Drosophila melanogaster: one gene and its partner. The protein of the gene in region 1 interacts with the protein of each later gene in a pairwise test. Each region holds a gene or a part of one and is shown on either strand. Other genes may lie near its edges. The genes, in order: Pgant6 and CG32354.

Region 1 (6,375 bases):
GGGCTACAGCGGAGCGGTGGGCGCGGTGGTACGCCAGATCCCTCAGCTGGTCGTCTGCCCGGCGGTGCTGGCCACCCAGGCCACCACCAACATCCTGGGCGGCGCCAAGAGCTCGCTGATTCCGGAGGCCAAACTGGAGGCGCGCGACAAGTGGAAGCAGGAGATCCACTAGGCAACTGCTTCACAGATCGACTAGGTTAACGGTAGCTATAGTTCACGGGGCTTACAGCATAACGCAATGTTTTCTATTGTTTTACTAATAATAAATAATGTACATAAAAGGAGCACTTGCACGAGACGGCGAGGTGACGAGGGATTTGGGATCCCGAACGGTGATTCCGACATGGGTGTGATTGAACTTATCCTTTTTAGCCATATTACAGTACATGAGAGTTATATTTTTTATTATTTTACCTGAATAAATATATATATATATAAAAGAAAAAGATGACGTATTTCTTCATGGTGCTGCTAAAAGTTTAAGAACGGATACTATTCTAGCAAAATTTAACCGAACTACCAGAATTTATTAAACCCTCAGCTAAAAATGAAGTACAAATAAAAACAACTAGCAGTTTACAAAATGATTTAAAAAGACGTTACTTTTATTTGTATGCTTCTCTGTGAATGGCAAGTTTCTGTAAACAGCTGATTGCTTGCTATTCGGCGCGAATGAATGTTCGTTGGCGCATGGTTTACGTAAAAGCCGCATAAATCGCTGGAAATATTAGTTAAAATTAGGTATCTAAGCTTAAAATTAAACATAAAACCATGTCCAGTGCGCTGACTCGCCTGTTGGAGCGCCTGCCACTGAAAAAACAGACGGCGCAAAGCGGTATTCGTGTTTTTTCCAACCAGGAGCAGCGGCAAGAAATTGAGGATGATGAAGGTAAACAATTAAGTTTCCCTGGCTTACACGTTTTATAATGGATATATCTTCCTGATCGGCCAGAATTCCGAGTGCTCAGCCTGCGGACGGTGAAGCAGCAGATGCAGAAGCGCCAGCAGGTCCGTCGGGATCCCATCACACCGCCGCGCACTGGCCGCATGGCGGTGGATCAGGACTGGACGGCCGTTTGGCCAGGACCACGTTCGTTCCACCCGGCCAGTGTGCCTCTGCCACTGCGGCAGGGATTCACGGAACGCGGAGCAGCAGCTCCGTCGAAGTTCGCCAATGCAGAGCTGATGAAGATACCCAACTTTCTGCACTTGACACCGCCGGCCATCCGTCAGCAATGCGAAGCCATCAAGAAGTTCTGCACGCCATGGCCAAAGGGTCTGGAGACAGAGGCCAAGTGGCAGCGCCACTTCCCCCTGGAGGTCACCACCACAGACTACTGCCAGAGTTTGCCCACGATCAGGAATCCGGAGGCCAGGCGCGTCACCATTACCCTGAAGCTCTCTGACCTGAAGTTCGATGCGCACGCCAGGGATAAGTTCCTGCGCCTGGTGGGCGATCGCTACAACAAGGACACGGACCTCGTTACCTTCGTCACGGATCGCTGTCCGCAGAAGAAGCAGAACTACGACTACGCCCTGTATCTGCTCACCGCTTGCTATCACGAATCCTTTGTCACCGAGCCGTGGGAGGCCACCAAATCGGAGGCCGACATGGAGGTCTATCTGTTCGAGCGTAACCAGTCGAAGGTCTCCGCCGAGGGAATCCTCAACTGGAACGCCAAGAAGGGTGCTCCAAAAGTGGTTCCCAGCAAGTCATTCGCTGAATGCGTGGAGAAACTGATAAACGAAGGCGAAAACGAGTACAACTTGGGCAAATACAAGGAGGAGGTCAAGAAGATGTTGAACATTGCCTAGGAAACTGGATAGTTGAGTGAACCAATAAAGCGAGAAGTTGTTAAAAAATAATCATAACAAGTATTTGAATGTTACAATATTTATCTTGTTAATAATTTTGAATTGAAACTGGGCAACCATGTAATCCCCCTTTACGACGCCCCTCCTTCGTTGTGAATGTCCGAACAGCTGTTTACAATGAAGGCGTGCCCGTGTGAATGGCATTAGAACAGCGCCAAGAACAGAACCAAAAAAACCGAATTTCCGCGGACGTGGAAGCAAACTTTTGTTTTGCTATGCTAATTAGTATTTTAGTAGTTAATAAGTTTATTCAACCCCGTTTGGATGGAGCTTTGAGTAGAATACAGTCGTAGAGAGGTGAGAACAAACTCCTGATAAGAATTCACCTGCTGATGACGTTTCACCTGATTAAAATTATAAAATCCGGAATTATAAACAAAGTTAGTCGCTGAAGTGTTTCTAAGTTATAGTACATTCATTGACATATGTCTGCGATAAGGTAACTATCCAGCGGATGTTCCTTCAGCGCAGTTAAATATCATTTCTATTATCTTAACTTTCGTATTGGTGAAAATGACTCGCCGCTTATCTTGTATTTTTTGTATGTGCGACCCAAAAAGATACATATGTGCTTACGTTTCTGAATTTTTCTACTTTTCTACTATTCTCTTTCACCCACAGACCACGTTGCAGTGCCGCCAGATAAAGAGACAAGCCAGCAAACATCCGCAGCACCTGAGCTAACAAACCAATATCACCATTACCGCGAGATATACTTCACCGACATTAATGGTTGACGTAGAGACCCGTAGAGCGCACACGTAGCCACGGATATCCGGCAAAGATGCGGCGACCCAATCTCAAGTGGATAGTGAAGGCCTCGCTGCTCTTGTTGATCTCACTGACTCTCTTCGTACTGATAACCAGCTGGATCTCATCTACTCCGTACACCAACAAGCCAGTCCATCATGGCGTGGAGCCCGTGCCCGAAAAGGCTGGCCTTTCCGGCGATGTCAAGGTGAAGGTGCCAGCTATAAAGCAACCAGAACCTCAGAAACCACAGGAACCCGACTTCGAAGAGGATCCTGAGCTGCAGAAGATCGATGAGCCCGAACCGGTGGAGGAAGAAGTCGATAATCCGCATCCGGCGGACGACGAACCGCAACAGCAGCCCCAGGAGGAGCTCCAAATGGCTGCGCCGGCGGACGCTTCGGTGAAGAAGGACTGGCACGACTATACTTTCATGGAAAAGGATGCCAAGCGCGTGGGCCTCGGGGAGGGCGGAAAGGCATCGACGCTCGACGATGAGTCCCAGCGAGACTTGGAGAAGCGAATGTCCCTGGAAAATGGATTTAATGCCCTGCTCTCGGATTCCATATCGGTTAACCGCTCGGTGCCCGACATCCGCCACCCTCTGTGAGTTGTTCATCAAAAAGCACTTAGTTTCGCTAAATATAGGAGTCGAGATAAGGCAGTGGCTCCCAAAATGGGCACTTCTCTAATGTGACGCTCCAAATCAGTTTTATTTTCAAAGTCAGATAAGACCATTTTGCTTGCTTGAAATGCTTATTATTTTATAGTAGGAAGATATTGAATTAATTATATCAGTGCAGTGATATCTGTTAACGAATAATTTATTGCCAATTCCAATTTATTTTAATCTATTAATTCAATTGCAGATGTCGCAAGAAGGAGTACGTAGCGAAGTTGCCCACAGTCAGTGTGATCATCATCTTTTACAACGAATACCTGAGCGTGCTGATGCGCTCAGTTCACAGTCTGATTAATCGCTCGCCGCCGGAGCTGATGAAGGAGATAATCCTGGTGGACGATCACAGTGACCGCGAATATTTGGGAAAGGAGCTGGAGACCTATATAGCGGAACACTTTAAGTGGGTGCGCGTGGTGAGGCTGCCAAGGCGCACGGGACTGATTGGTGCCCGAGCGGCGGGCGCAAGGAATGCCACTGCAGAGGTGCTCATCTTCCTCGATTCCCACGTGGAGGCCAACTACAATTGGTTGCCACCGTTGCTGGAGCCGATTGCCCTGAACAAACGGACGGCGGTGTGTCCCTTTATCGATGTGATTGACCACACCAACTTCCACTACCGGGCGCAGGATGAGGGAGCCCGAGGAGCGTTCGACTGGGAGTTCTTTTACAAGCGCCTGCCATTGCTGCCAGAGGATCTAAAGCATCCGGCCGATCCGTTCAAGAGTCCCATCATGGCTGGCGGTCTATTTGCCATTTCTAGGGAGTTCTTCTGGGAACTGGGCGGCTACGACGAGGGCCTGGACATCTGGGGCGGAGAACAGTATGAGCTAAGCTTCAAGATCTGGATGTGTGGTGGTGAAATGTACGATGCGCCCTGCTCCCGCATTGGGCATATCTATCGCGGACCTCGCAACCATCAGCCGAGTCCCAGGAAGGGCGATTACCTGCACAAGGTGAGTTTAGCAGTAGAGAATAAAGAGTAATCTAAATGGCGAATGGGAAATTGAGCCATAAACGGGTTTCATCCAACATTAACAGACACTCCCATTTAGTTTCTTAATTTTTTTAAGACCTCATAAAATTCTTTTGTCTCTGAACTTCGCTAGTTCATTTTACAAGTTTTTATTTTTATGTTTTTGTTTTTGGCGGATAAACTTGGCGTGTTGGTTCTAATTAGAAATTTATATGTTGCCTCTTCGTGGTATATCTTTATATCTTTGTTTTGTTTACTCTGGCATGTAGCTATCCGAACTTGACACATTGTTGTGAAAAATATTTGCGCATATTTAAAAAGGGGTTTATGGCTTTCGAAGTTAACTTGATTGCAGCCATGGCAACAAATTTTATTTAAGATTTCTTCGCCAACGATTTCGCAGTAATTATTATTCTTATCAAGGCAATCAATCAGTTAATTAGACCCATCGACTAACTCTTGATTACTTTGCAGAACTACAAGCGAGTGGCGGAGGTGTGGATGGACGAGTACAAGAACTACCTGTACAGCCACGGAGACGGTCTGTACGAGAGCGTGGATCCTGGCGATTTGACGGAGCAAAAGGCCATCCGCACCAAGCTGAACTGCAAGTCCTTCAAATGGTTCATGGAGGAGGTGGCCTTCGATCTGATGAAGACCTATCCGCCGGTGGATCCGCCGTCCTATGCCATGGGCGCTCTGCAGAATGTGGGCAATCAGAATCTGTGCCTGGACACGTTGGGCAGAAAGAAGCACAACAAGATGGGCATGTACGCGTGTGCCGACAATATAAAGACTCCGCAGCGAACGCAGTTCTGGGAGCTGAGCTGGAAGCGAGACCTTCGCCTACGGCGAAAGAAGGAGTGCCTGGACGTCCAGATCTGGGATGCCAATGCGCCCGTTTGGCTGTGGGACTGCCACAGCCAGGGTGGCAACCAGTATTGGTACTACGACTACCGCCACAAGCAGCTCAAGCACGGCACGGAGGGCAGAAGGTGCCTGGAGCTGCTGCCCTTCTCCCAGGAGGTGGTGGCCAACAAGTGCGACACCGACAATCGGTTCCAGCAGTGGAACTTCGGCTCGTTCAACAAAACAGCGCTGGACAACTACTCGCAGGACCTCGTCCTCAGCCTGTAACCGCTGCCCTGCAATAGTATCACTTGCCATGTACTTAGAACACTTCGATGTAAATAACTAGGCTAGATAGGTTGTACGGCCGCTTGGCCACATAACAATTTACCCCGACTCAAGCGCACATATGCAACAGAGGATGCAACAGAGAGTATCTTTACCTTAAATATAGTGCATCTCAAACCAATTCCAAATGCCACAAAAATAATTTGTAGCGTTACGTATGCTTTGGAGTTTTGTTTGGTTTCAAACAGGATTCCGAATATGCTAGTATTAGCCTCTAAATTGTCATAAGTTTGACAACCGTATGACTTTGTACTCCACAAGAAGTGTTTTCCAATAAAGAATATTTTTAAATAATTATCAGAAGTGCTGGTATGGGTATCCCCCCGTTGTTGCAAATGAAAAATGCAGTCTGGCGATCTTAACTTTGTTTTCGTTTTATTTAATATTAATATCTGTTTGCTTTCCATGCGCGTACTTTAAATAAATATAATTACGTTTTTCATCCATCTCATCCATCCGCTTCGTGCTTCACAATCTTTATATACGTTCTCGGGTTGTATATCGTTTTACAATATGTATGTATCTCGCTATATCGTATCTCTATCTGATTCTGCACCCGAATGTCGCTAAGTCAGGTGCGATATCTTCGAGCTCTTTTCTGATTTCTGAGTTCTAATTTCTGATTTCTTATTTCCGCTTATTACTTATGCTGCTCAGTGTTGAGTGTTAATTGGTTTTGTTTCTGCTTTATCATATGCCAATATACGTATAGTTTATGTAAAAGGTGTACGCCGAGCGCCCCGCGAAACTCAAAAGTCGTTTTGGGGTGTGTAACTTAATGATGGCAAAGGATTTGCTTTTATTTGAAAATGATAAAAAAAGCATTTACAAACTATAATAGTTGTTGTTGGCTTGCGTAATCAGTTAATCAATTATCAATTATCATAAGTTATATTAA
Region 2 (7,989 bases), 5.6 Mb from region 1:
GAAGCAGTCGTTCAGATACGTTTTATTGTCGCTGCCGCAAACAGGCTCGAATTCCCTGGGACAGATGCGGGCACATCCTTTAAGCTGAAAGGCGGCAAGGCAGCGCTTCAGTGGCACCACGAAAACATGCTTGCCACAATTCTCCTTGCGCATGTGGCACTCGGACTTGTACAAGTTGTTGTCCGATCCGCAGACGAAACTTGGCGGCTGGGCATCACAATCCGATTCGCAGTCGGCGGTTAAAGCGCAATTCTTTAGCGAAACGGGCACCACACGCAGATCGCAAGTGCGCCGCTTGAACTCGCACATGGAGGCGAAGGTGTTGCCATCCGAGCCGCACACTGGCTGCTGTTCCAGATCCGCCCGAGTACAGGCATCCCCGCAATCCTTGGTGGGCGAATTGAGATCCGTGCAGGGACCAATGTGGGCCAGATTCACGCCGCGTCTGAAAAGAAGTTGAAGAGCTAGATCCATGTCCTATGGATGATCCTATCATGGATACTCACAGGCAGGTGGCGTGGGCCAGTTCGCACTCATTGTTATAAGTCTTGGCGTCCGTGCCGCAGAGCTTGTCATTTCGCTTCGAGCTGAAGATGGAACCGAACAAGCTATTGAAGTCCTTGCAAGGAGGCAGCTGTTTGCAGCGGGTCAGTCGATTCTTGCACTTGTCCATGCTCACTTTTTGAATGGACTTGCGCTGTGGACTGAAAGATAAAATTTTAGTCTGGTTATATTCCATTTTTATCTCATCCAAACTCACCCGCAATTGAGCATTTTGAGTTCACACAGCGAAGAGTATATGTTGCCATCACTGCCGCACACGTACTGCGACGAGGAATCCGTATCCGATTTGGGACACTCCGTGGGACAGGCATCGGAGGCTCCGTGCCTCTCCTGCGACATGCAGTAGGATAAGGGAACCTCAAAGACGTGCTTGCCGCAATTGGAAGAGCGCATCTTGCACGGACTGGCATACAGTCTGCCATCTGATCCGCAAGTGGGCCTCGCCACACGCCAGCAGGATTCCCTGCACATTCGTGTGGACTGACAGTGCTTCCGGCTGGTTTTCACCACACCCTGTCCACACGTCTTCAGCTTCATCTCGCACGTGGAGTTGTATACATTGCCATCCGATGAGCAAACTGGTCCATCCTTCGGCGCACTGTTGCAGTCAACCGGACAGGACTCACGCACGGCACTCGTGTTGCTGCAGGGACCCACATGCGATAGCTTCACTGCAGCCAATCCCACGCGACACGATTGCACCCTCAGCATGCAGCGATTCAGATAGGTCCTTCCGTCTGTACCACACACTGGATCCTTCTCCGTGCTGCAGCGGTGCTTGCAGTCCGAACCCTTCGACCTCTCGCAGCCATCCCGCACGTCCTTGATCAGCGACACTCCACTGCGGGAGCAAGTCTTCTTGCGCAGCTCGCAGATATTCGCATAGATCAGACCATCGCTGCCGCACACGGGCTCAGCTCCCACGGTGATGCTCGGTGGACAGGATCGAGGACAGTTGCCGGTGCCGGTGTTACTAGCCCTATTCCGTCTGCCCATCTGTGACAGCTGCTGTTGCTCCGTCTCCTCGCGCAGCAGCGACTCCAAGGCAGCTGCCGCCGCTCCGGGTGCCTGCATCAATGTGGACGACAGCTCCGGTCGCGCATCCTGACGATAGTTGATCAGCAATGAGTTGGGCGCCGCATCTGCACTGCGATAGCGGATAACTGGCGCCTGCGCCGGCAGCCGGATAATCTTGATGGGTGAGTCTGTCACAGCGCCTGTGGATGGAAATGATTTTAGAATTTAATTGGTTTCTATCTAGAAACTTAATTCTAAACATTTAAAGCAAGACAGTAGTTCCTCCTCCTCTGTTATATGAACTTATTAAACAAAGCTTAGTAATAATTACTACTTCCCCGCACGTAATGACCGGTTGTCCATCGAATTTTCCCAGGGTAACTCTGTTTCGAGACCGCCAAATGAAACTTTCCCTTCGCATTTTCCACAGCTCTTTAGCGGTGGCATGCGGAAGAGTCAACTGTGGGCATACAAATGTCAGATTAGCCGCACGATCATAGGGCATTTTGCGCAGTTGTGACCCACTGTGTCCATGCCGCCACCCGCCGACACTCCCCCGCATCCGAGACCAGTCTCTGATTCTGGAGTGATCGCATGACCGACTCAAGTAACCAGCCATTAACTTGAATAATTCTTTCCCTTTTTACTAACGGCAACGGCAAATGTTACCCGTCTTCAAATCTCGATTCCAAGTAAAACGACACAATGGCATTTATGTTTTGGCTGTGGTTTGAGCACAGCTAATACACTCGCTTCGTTCATACGGACTATCAGCGACCTCCATCTATAATTGTTCATGCTAATCCCCTCCAGAAATCGTAAGCTTAATCTGTGCTAAAAACTGCAAGTGAAATTTCCACACTAATTGCCTCCGGCGCCGAACATTTCTGTTGTCTTTGGTCGGATGTGGAACTGCTGGTTTAGTTTGGGTTGATTTGTCCATTTTTCTTATTTTTTTTTTTTTTTTTGTTTGCAAAGAAAGCTGTGAGAGCCGCCTCCGGAGGAAGCACTCAACTTAGTTAAAGATATACGAACGTAAATAGACATACCCAACAGCAGTAGAAAATCTATTAGCGCTCTTTGAGGCTGCCACACGATGGTTTGGCTGCGATAATTGAACCCACGTTCATTATTCCAATTTGCTGCTGCCGGCCATAAAGATGGAAATTTCAACATCCAGCCAGCCAGCCAGTCAGTCAGTCGAGCAGACGCATTCTCAGCTTAATGGACTCGGATGCTTCTCTGGCTGGATGCGAGTCCGAATCTGAATCGGAGGCATCGGCATCCAGAGGAGCCATTAAGCGCGGAGAAAATTAAGCGGCGTTAGGAATTAATGCACATGTAAACGATCCGCTGGAATGGTCAGAGGCAAAAGCCGAGACCACAGCCAATCTCATTCAGCATTGCAGCAATGCGACCTCAACCGCCCCACCCACTCTCACCAATCCTGCACTGGCAGAAAAGTGTGGTACTAGTCCTGGGATAAACTCAGAATCAAATCACTCATGCAAACTAATGGTACAAACTTATACAACACCATACACCATACTATTTTGCATTTTAAATACACCTCTGATTTACTGATTTCCTTTTGTTCATATGTTCTGCTGATTTCTCCCAGTGCAGGTGCATTTTCCTGGCCTCCAGCGAATTGCTGGCAGGCTCCTGCCTATCGGATGCCATCAATTGCAAAAAAAAAAGGCGAGAGAAATAATAAAAGCAGCCACCGTATAATTTTCAAAAGTGGAAAAATCCAGCAACCAACGCACTGCACTGCTGGGCAGGGACTTTTGCATGATATATACTGGGTATGTACATATATATATGTACATATGTACATACATATCTATATATGCACATGGAGCACACCATGTGCACTCGGTTTGCTCCGGTTTGGTGTGGCACAGTGGCGAGCAGCGACATGACCAAGCCCATAGATGAATGAATCACGGCGCCACTGATTGGGGCCATTAAAACATATATGTACATATGTACATATATATGTGTATATGCATGCGAGCATATATCACAGCATCCAAAACTAATTGATCTTTCACCCATCAATCTCCGATGAAGTGCGGTTATCAATTAGCCAAACGATCGCGCTTACAAGTCAAATAAATCATTTCGCTTCGGGTCAACTTTAAACGATGTAACCCCCCCAATTGACCCCCAACCCTTTCCAGCTCGCTGCCACTGTGCGGTCAGCTTGATTTTCCCCCCCCCCCATGAGCTAGCGATTCGCCCCTCTTCCACCAGCCCCCCCCCCCCCCTACGTTTTCAGGCCCCCGGCTTCTGTTTGGCCCCTTCGTGCTTTTAATGAATTTATACGAATGTTGGACAAATTGTGCACGAAAATATTTACGAGCATGTTGTGCGTCGAGGAGTGAGTGCCTCAAACTGGGGAGTTCGTGGTCTAGGGGGCGGTGGGGGGAGAGGTGTTGGGGCATTGGAAGCTTCGCGCTCGTGTATGTGTGCCAGTTTACATTCACTTTGTGCGGAGTAGTACCTTAGAAATGGATAGTTGAATAGCTGCTGCGACGGCCTTTCTACCACCGCACAGCTGTAGGTCTTAGATCCGGACCCCGATTCACCTTCTCCGTTTCAACACCCGGAGAAATTAGGCGGTAATTGAGACGGCACTCACTGGGACTTGTCCAGTCTGTCTGCAACTTTCATTTAGCTCAAGATCAGTTGCCGTTTTCCGCTGAAGAACTCGGGTTTCCCTAGAACTCTGTCCGCAGTTTTAACTGCAACTCAATAACGATGTGATAGTTAGGAGAAAGTACATTTAGCAAGAGGAAAACTAATACCCTTTGAAACTTGTATTAGGCCCTTTTAAATGTAATGTTAACTAATCTGGATTTAAATAGAGCATTCTTTACTTTAGCAATGGCTTAAGAGTTCCATAGTCAGTTTTCTCTTTTATGATTATATTGGACTTAATGCTCTGCTTAAGGAACCTAGTTTTATCTTAATCTGATTTTAATTTAGTTAGGAGGAACTTTGCTGAATCTGAATCAACGTATACTTCTTTAGCTGATTCATTTCTTGAGGCAATTAAACAATTTGAATAGTGAGAATGCCAGGAAAGAGATTCGAATGATCTAAGACTACTTCCTGTGACTTTCTACTCAACGTGTAGCACCAATTTTGGGATTTCTCGCAGTGTACGACTTACCACTGGTGGTTGACGCAAATGCCGCCAACGTGAACATGGCCAAGAGTGCGCCAAACAGCTGTCGCTGGCTCTTGGTGCCGCCAAAGCTGAGGCCCAGACTGGGGCTGTGGTTATGGCTGCATCTGGCGATCTGGCTTGGAGTCTGGCCAAGTCCGTGGGCCTGTGTTTGGGTGGCGTTTGGGGCGGGGGGCTGCAGATGCAGATGCAGATGCTGTTTGTGGTGCATTTTCGCTGGCTGTCTGCTGCACTTTTCCTATTAGACGCTTGATGATTTGTTGTTGCCGCTCGGATCGGATGCGTGCGTGATGTGAGACTGAGGCGTGCGGCGCTTTCGCTCGTTAACAATTGAAATTGAAATAGTAGCAAACTTTTATGCGGCTGCGGCTCACGGTGGATGAAAGTTTTTTTTTCTCTTCCTCGGTCGATCTACCAGGGAGATAGAGATATAGTGGTGCTATATAGTATATGGACTATATAACTGCTCGTAATGGCGCTTAAGCTGTTCGAATTAACGGTAATCTTGCGGTCATTTGGGCCTGGCCTGCTCTTCTTCTTCTTCTTCCTGCTCTTCTTGTTAACCGATGTCGTTGTGTTGCCTTCTCTCTCTCTCTCTTTAGCGCCCTTTTACGAGTTCATTCGTTTGCCTATCAACATCAAGCTCCCGTGTCTTACGCTGTCTTCTGTCTCTTTCGCTTTTCCCTTTGCCTGCCGGGCACTTGACCTTTTCACACAATCGCACAATGGAGCATAATTTCTTTTTTATCGCCTTGGCTTTATGGCTTTTTCTTGATGTTTTGTGGATTTTTGCACGGCCCGCCTTTAATTTGATTTCAATTACTGGTTCTGGTAAGGCTTTATTTTCCTTTTATTTGCTTTTTATAACGTTTTTCTTTTTTTTTTCGTTTCTATTATGCGCACAAAACAATTCGCTTTTGTCCGTTACTCTTTTGTCGTTTGAATTTGACTTTGATGCGCGCTCTTCGAGTTTCGATTCGCATATGAAAAATGATCTGTCTTTCGGATTTCGATGCTGCTGCTACTGTTCTGCCTCGGCCGATGCCTCCGCTGACGCCTACTGCGACGCCGACTGCGACTGCAACTGCGGCGATTGCATTTCGTATTTCATTTCTTCTTTTTTATTGTTCTCGAATGAATGAATGAATGAATGGGCACTAACACACTCGCGCTCGCATCCGATTTGTACAATTCGTATTGTCGTCTTTGCCTCTGTTTCTTTTTTCGCCTTTTTAACTTTTTTCTTAGGCCTTTGTTTAGTGCGCTCTAGAGTCGCTCTGAAATCTCGGAAAGCTTGGGCTCCAAATGCGACTGGAAGGTTTGACAATGCGCCGACGAATGGCAAAAAATTTGCAATGAAAAGAAATTTATATGGGTGAAAGGCAGCGCAGTCGGCGACGGCAGAGCAGAGCATCCAGCGCTGTTGTTGTTGCAGCTACACTCGAAACAATTCACTCATCTTTTGAATACTAAATCAAGAGTATTTCCAGTTAGGACAAAAAGCACCGCTTTCTTTAAGTTTTTAAAGTTGAAAAACAATGAAAAAATAAAAATATATATGAATAATAATAAAAAAGTTATAATGTACAATAACAGCAATGGTGGATTGTAAAAGGATACAATTCAAAGATATGCATGTCTGTGCAGTTTCAAACTTTCAAAATGTAACATATATTGAGAGCAGTAAAGAGAGCAAGTAAATTTAAGTTAAAAATGTAGTCTAGTCTTGATCTTTTTGAATAGACCTATATTTCTTTTTAAACTTTAACGGTTTACTACCACAAGTTTTTCGAGTGCATTGTTGGGTGCCGGGGCATATTGATTAAATGGAGTTGTTGGTATTTAAAATAACAACTTGGTCATGTCTGCCTGGCCTAATCGGTTTTGCGTACAAATTTAATTTGCCAAAAGTGGCAGCAAAATGCAGCCAAAAAGGCGCGCCGCATTTGAAATTATAACTCACACACTCGATTCGATTCGATACGATACGATTCGATCGGATCAGATGCATCCACATCCACGTCCGTGCTCCCCCAACATCTCCGATGCCCAAACCCAAGCCATACCATCCCACATCCAATATACAATATTCACGATCCGAGTCCACGATTCAGTTGCAGTGGCATTGGCATTGGCAGTTGCAGTTGCAGTAGAAAGTGCAGCCTGGAAGCTGTGTTTATAGACTTGTAGACTTTAAAGCCATAAATTTTACGCCTCAGCGGCCGTTGCGAATAAGGGTCACACACACATAGCCTACTATCACCTTGCACAGTGTCCTGATGCCAATTTAAGGTGCATGTTTACTAATGCATTCACACAAAAATATTTGATTTTGGCATAGTTTAGCTATTAGAGCTTAGACCTTATCTAATTGTCTTAGGTATTATATATTTGATATAATAATATTTTAGTTAAGTAATTCTAGCTTATGTTAAAAGGAATACAAAGTAATGCTACCCAAATAAATAACTTGCTAGTAACATAAAAAATGAAGTTATATTTTAAACTATAAATAGTAAGTAAATAAATGTTCTTAAGCAAAACATAATCCTTAATCTTTCATGGTTCGGGACATATGAGCTTTAAGTTAATATTCAATCTTTTTAAGAATTTTAATGTTGCTTTTTTTTCTTACGAGTACTTTCCCTTAAAACTTTGTGCAATAAATCATCATTTTTGGGAAATGCGTTGTGGGTGCTTAAATTCCACATGTTTTGGAACCACTGTGCGCTGGCGGTGGGTGGAGGAAGGTGAAGAAGCAGATCATTGGCGGCGGAGTCGCGTGCATTAAAGAAAATTGAGTGGAGGTGGAGGTGGAAGTGGCCGTCGCATGGGAAAAGAGGTCAGTAAGTGAATGTTTACAGTTAGCTTTTTGGGCAGATCAGAGAGAGCCAGGTCCAAAACAAAACCAAACAAAACAAAACAAAACATAATGCCGAGCCGATCTCAGCTCGACGGAAAAAGCCAAACTGCATATGACAGGCGTGACTCGGCTTTAAGCGCCAGTGCCCAGAACTAATACCCCAAACACGACGAGCTGCAGATCCCATAGAAATGAGGGGGACAAACCGCAGGAAAAGACCGCCAAAAAAAAAAAAAATAAATAAGAAACTGAAAACAGAAGAGCAAAATTTAATTAAAAGAAAGCCAGGCTGGCGCGGAGACGTAAAAACCTTTTGGCAGCCGTGCAGTTTCTTTTTTGGCCAAATATT

What was found.
Region 2: the proteins of Pgant6 (region 1) and CG32354 interact in a two-hybrid assay, tested with the Drosophila melanogaster proteins (one large-scale study listed by BioGRID).

What each region holds. Positions count from the first base shown.
Region 1 is NT_037436.4:2,780,242-2,786,616, forward strand, and holds Pgant6 (polypeptide N-Acetylgalactosaminyltransferase 6), read left to right. Parts: upstream 1-2,013; 5' UTR 2,014-2,314; intron 2,315-2,496; 5' UTR 2,497-2,659; coding exon 2,660-3,231; intron 3,232-3,494; coding exon 3,495-4,260; intron 4,261-4,754; coding exon 4,755-5,417; 3' UTR 5,418-5,769; downstream 5,770-6,375. Other genes in the region: Atg2 (Autophagy-related 2), read left to right, coding at 1-172; mRpS35 (mitochondrial ribosomal protein S35), read left to right, coding at 772-889, 953-1,815. UniProt on the Drosophila melanogaster protein: Glycopeptide transferase involved in O-linked oligosaccharide biosynthesis, which catalyzes the transfer of an N-acetyl-D-galactosamine residue to an already glycosylated peptide.
Region 2 is NT_037436.4:8,416,079-8,424,067, forward strand, and holds the start of CG32354 (uncharacterized protein), read right to left. Parts: upstream 6,128-7,989; 5' UTR 4,989-6,127; coding exon 4,763-4,988; intron 1,782-4,762; coding exon 761-1,781; intron 705-760; coding exon 507-704; intron 446-506; coding exon 1-445.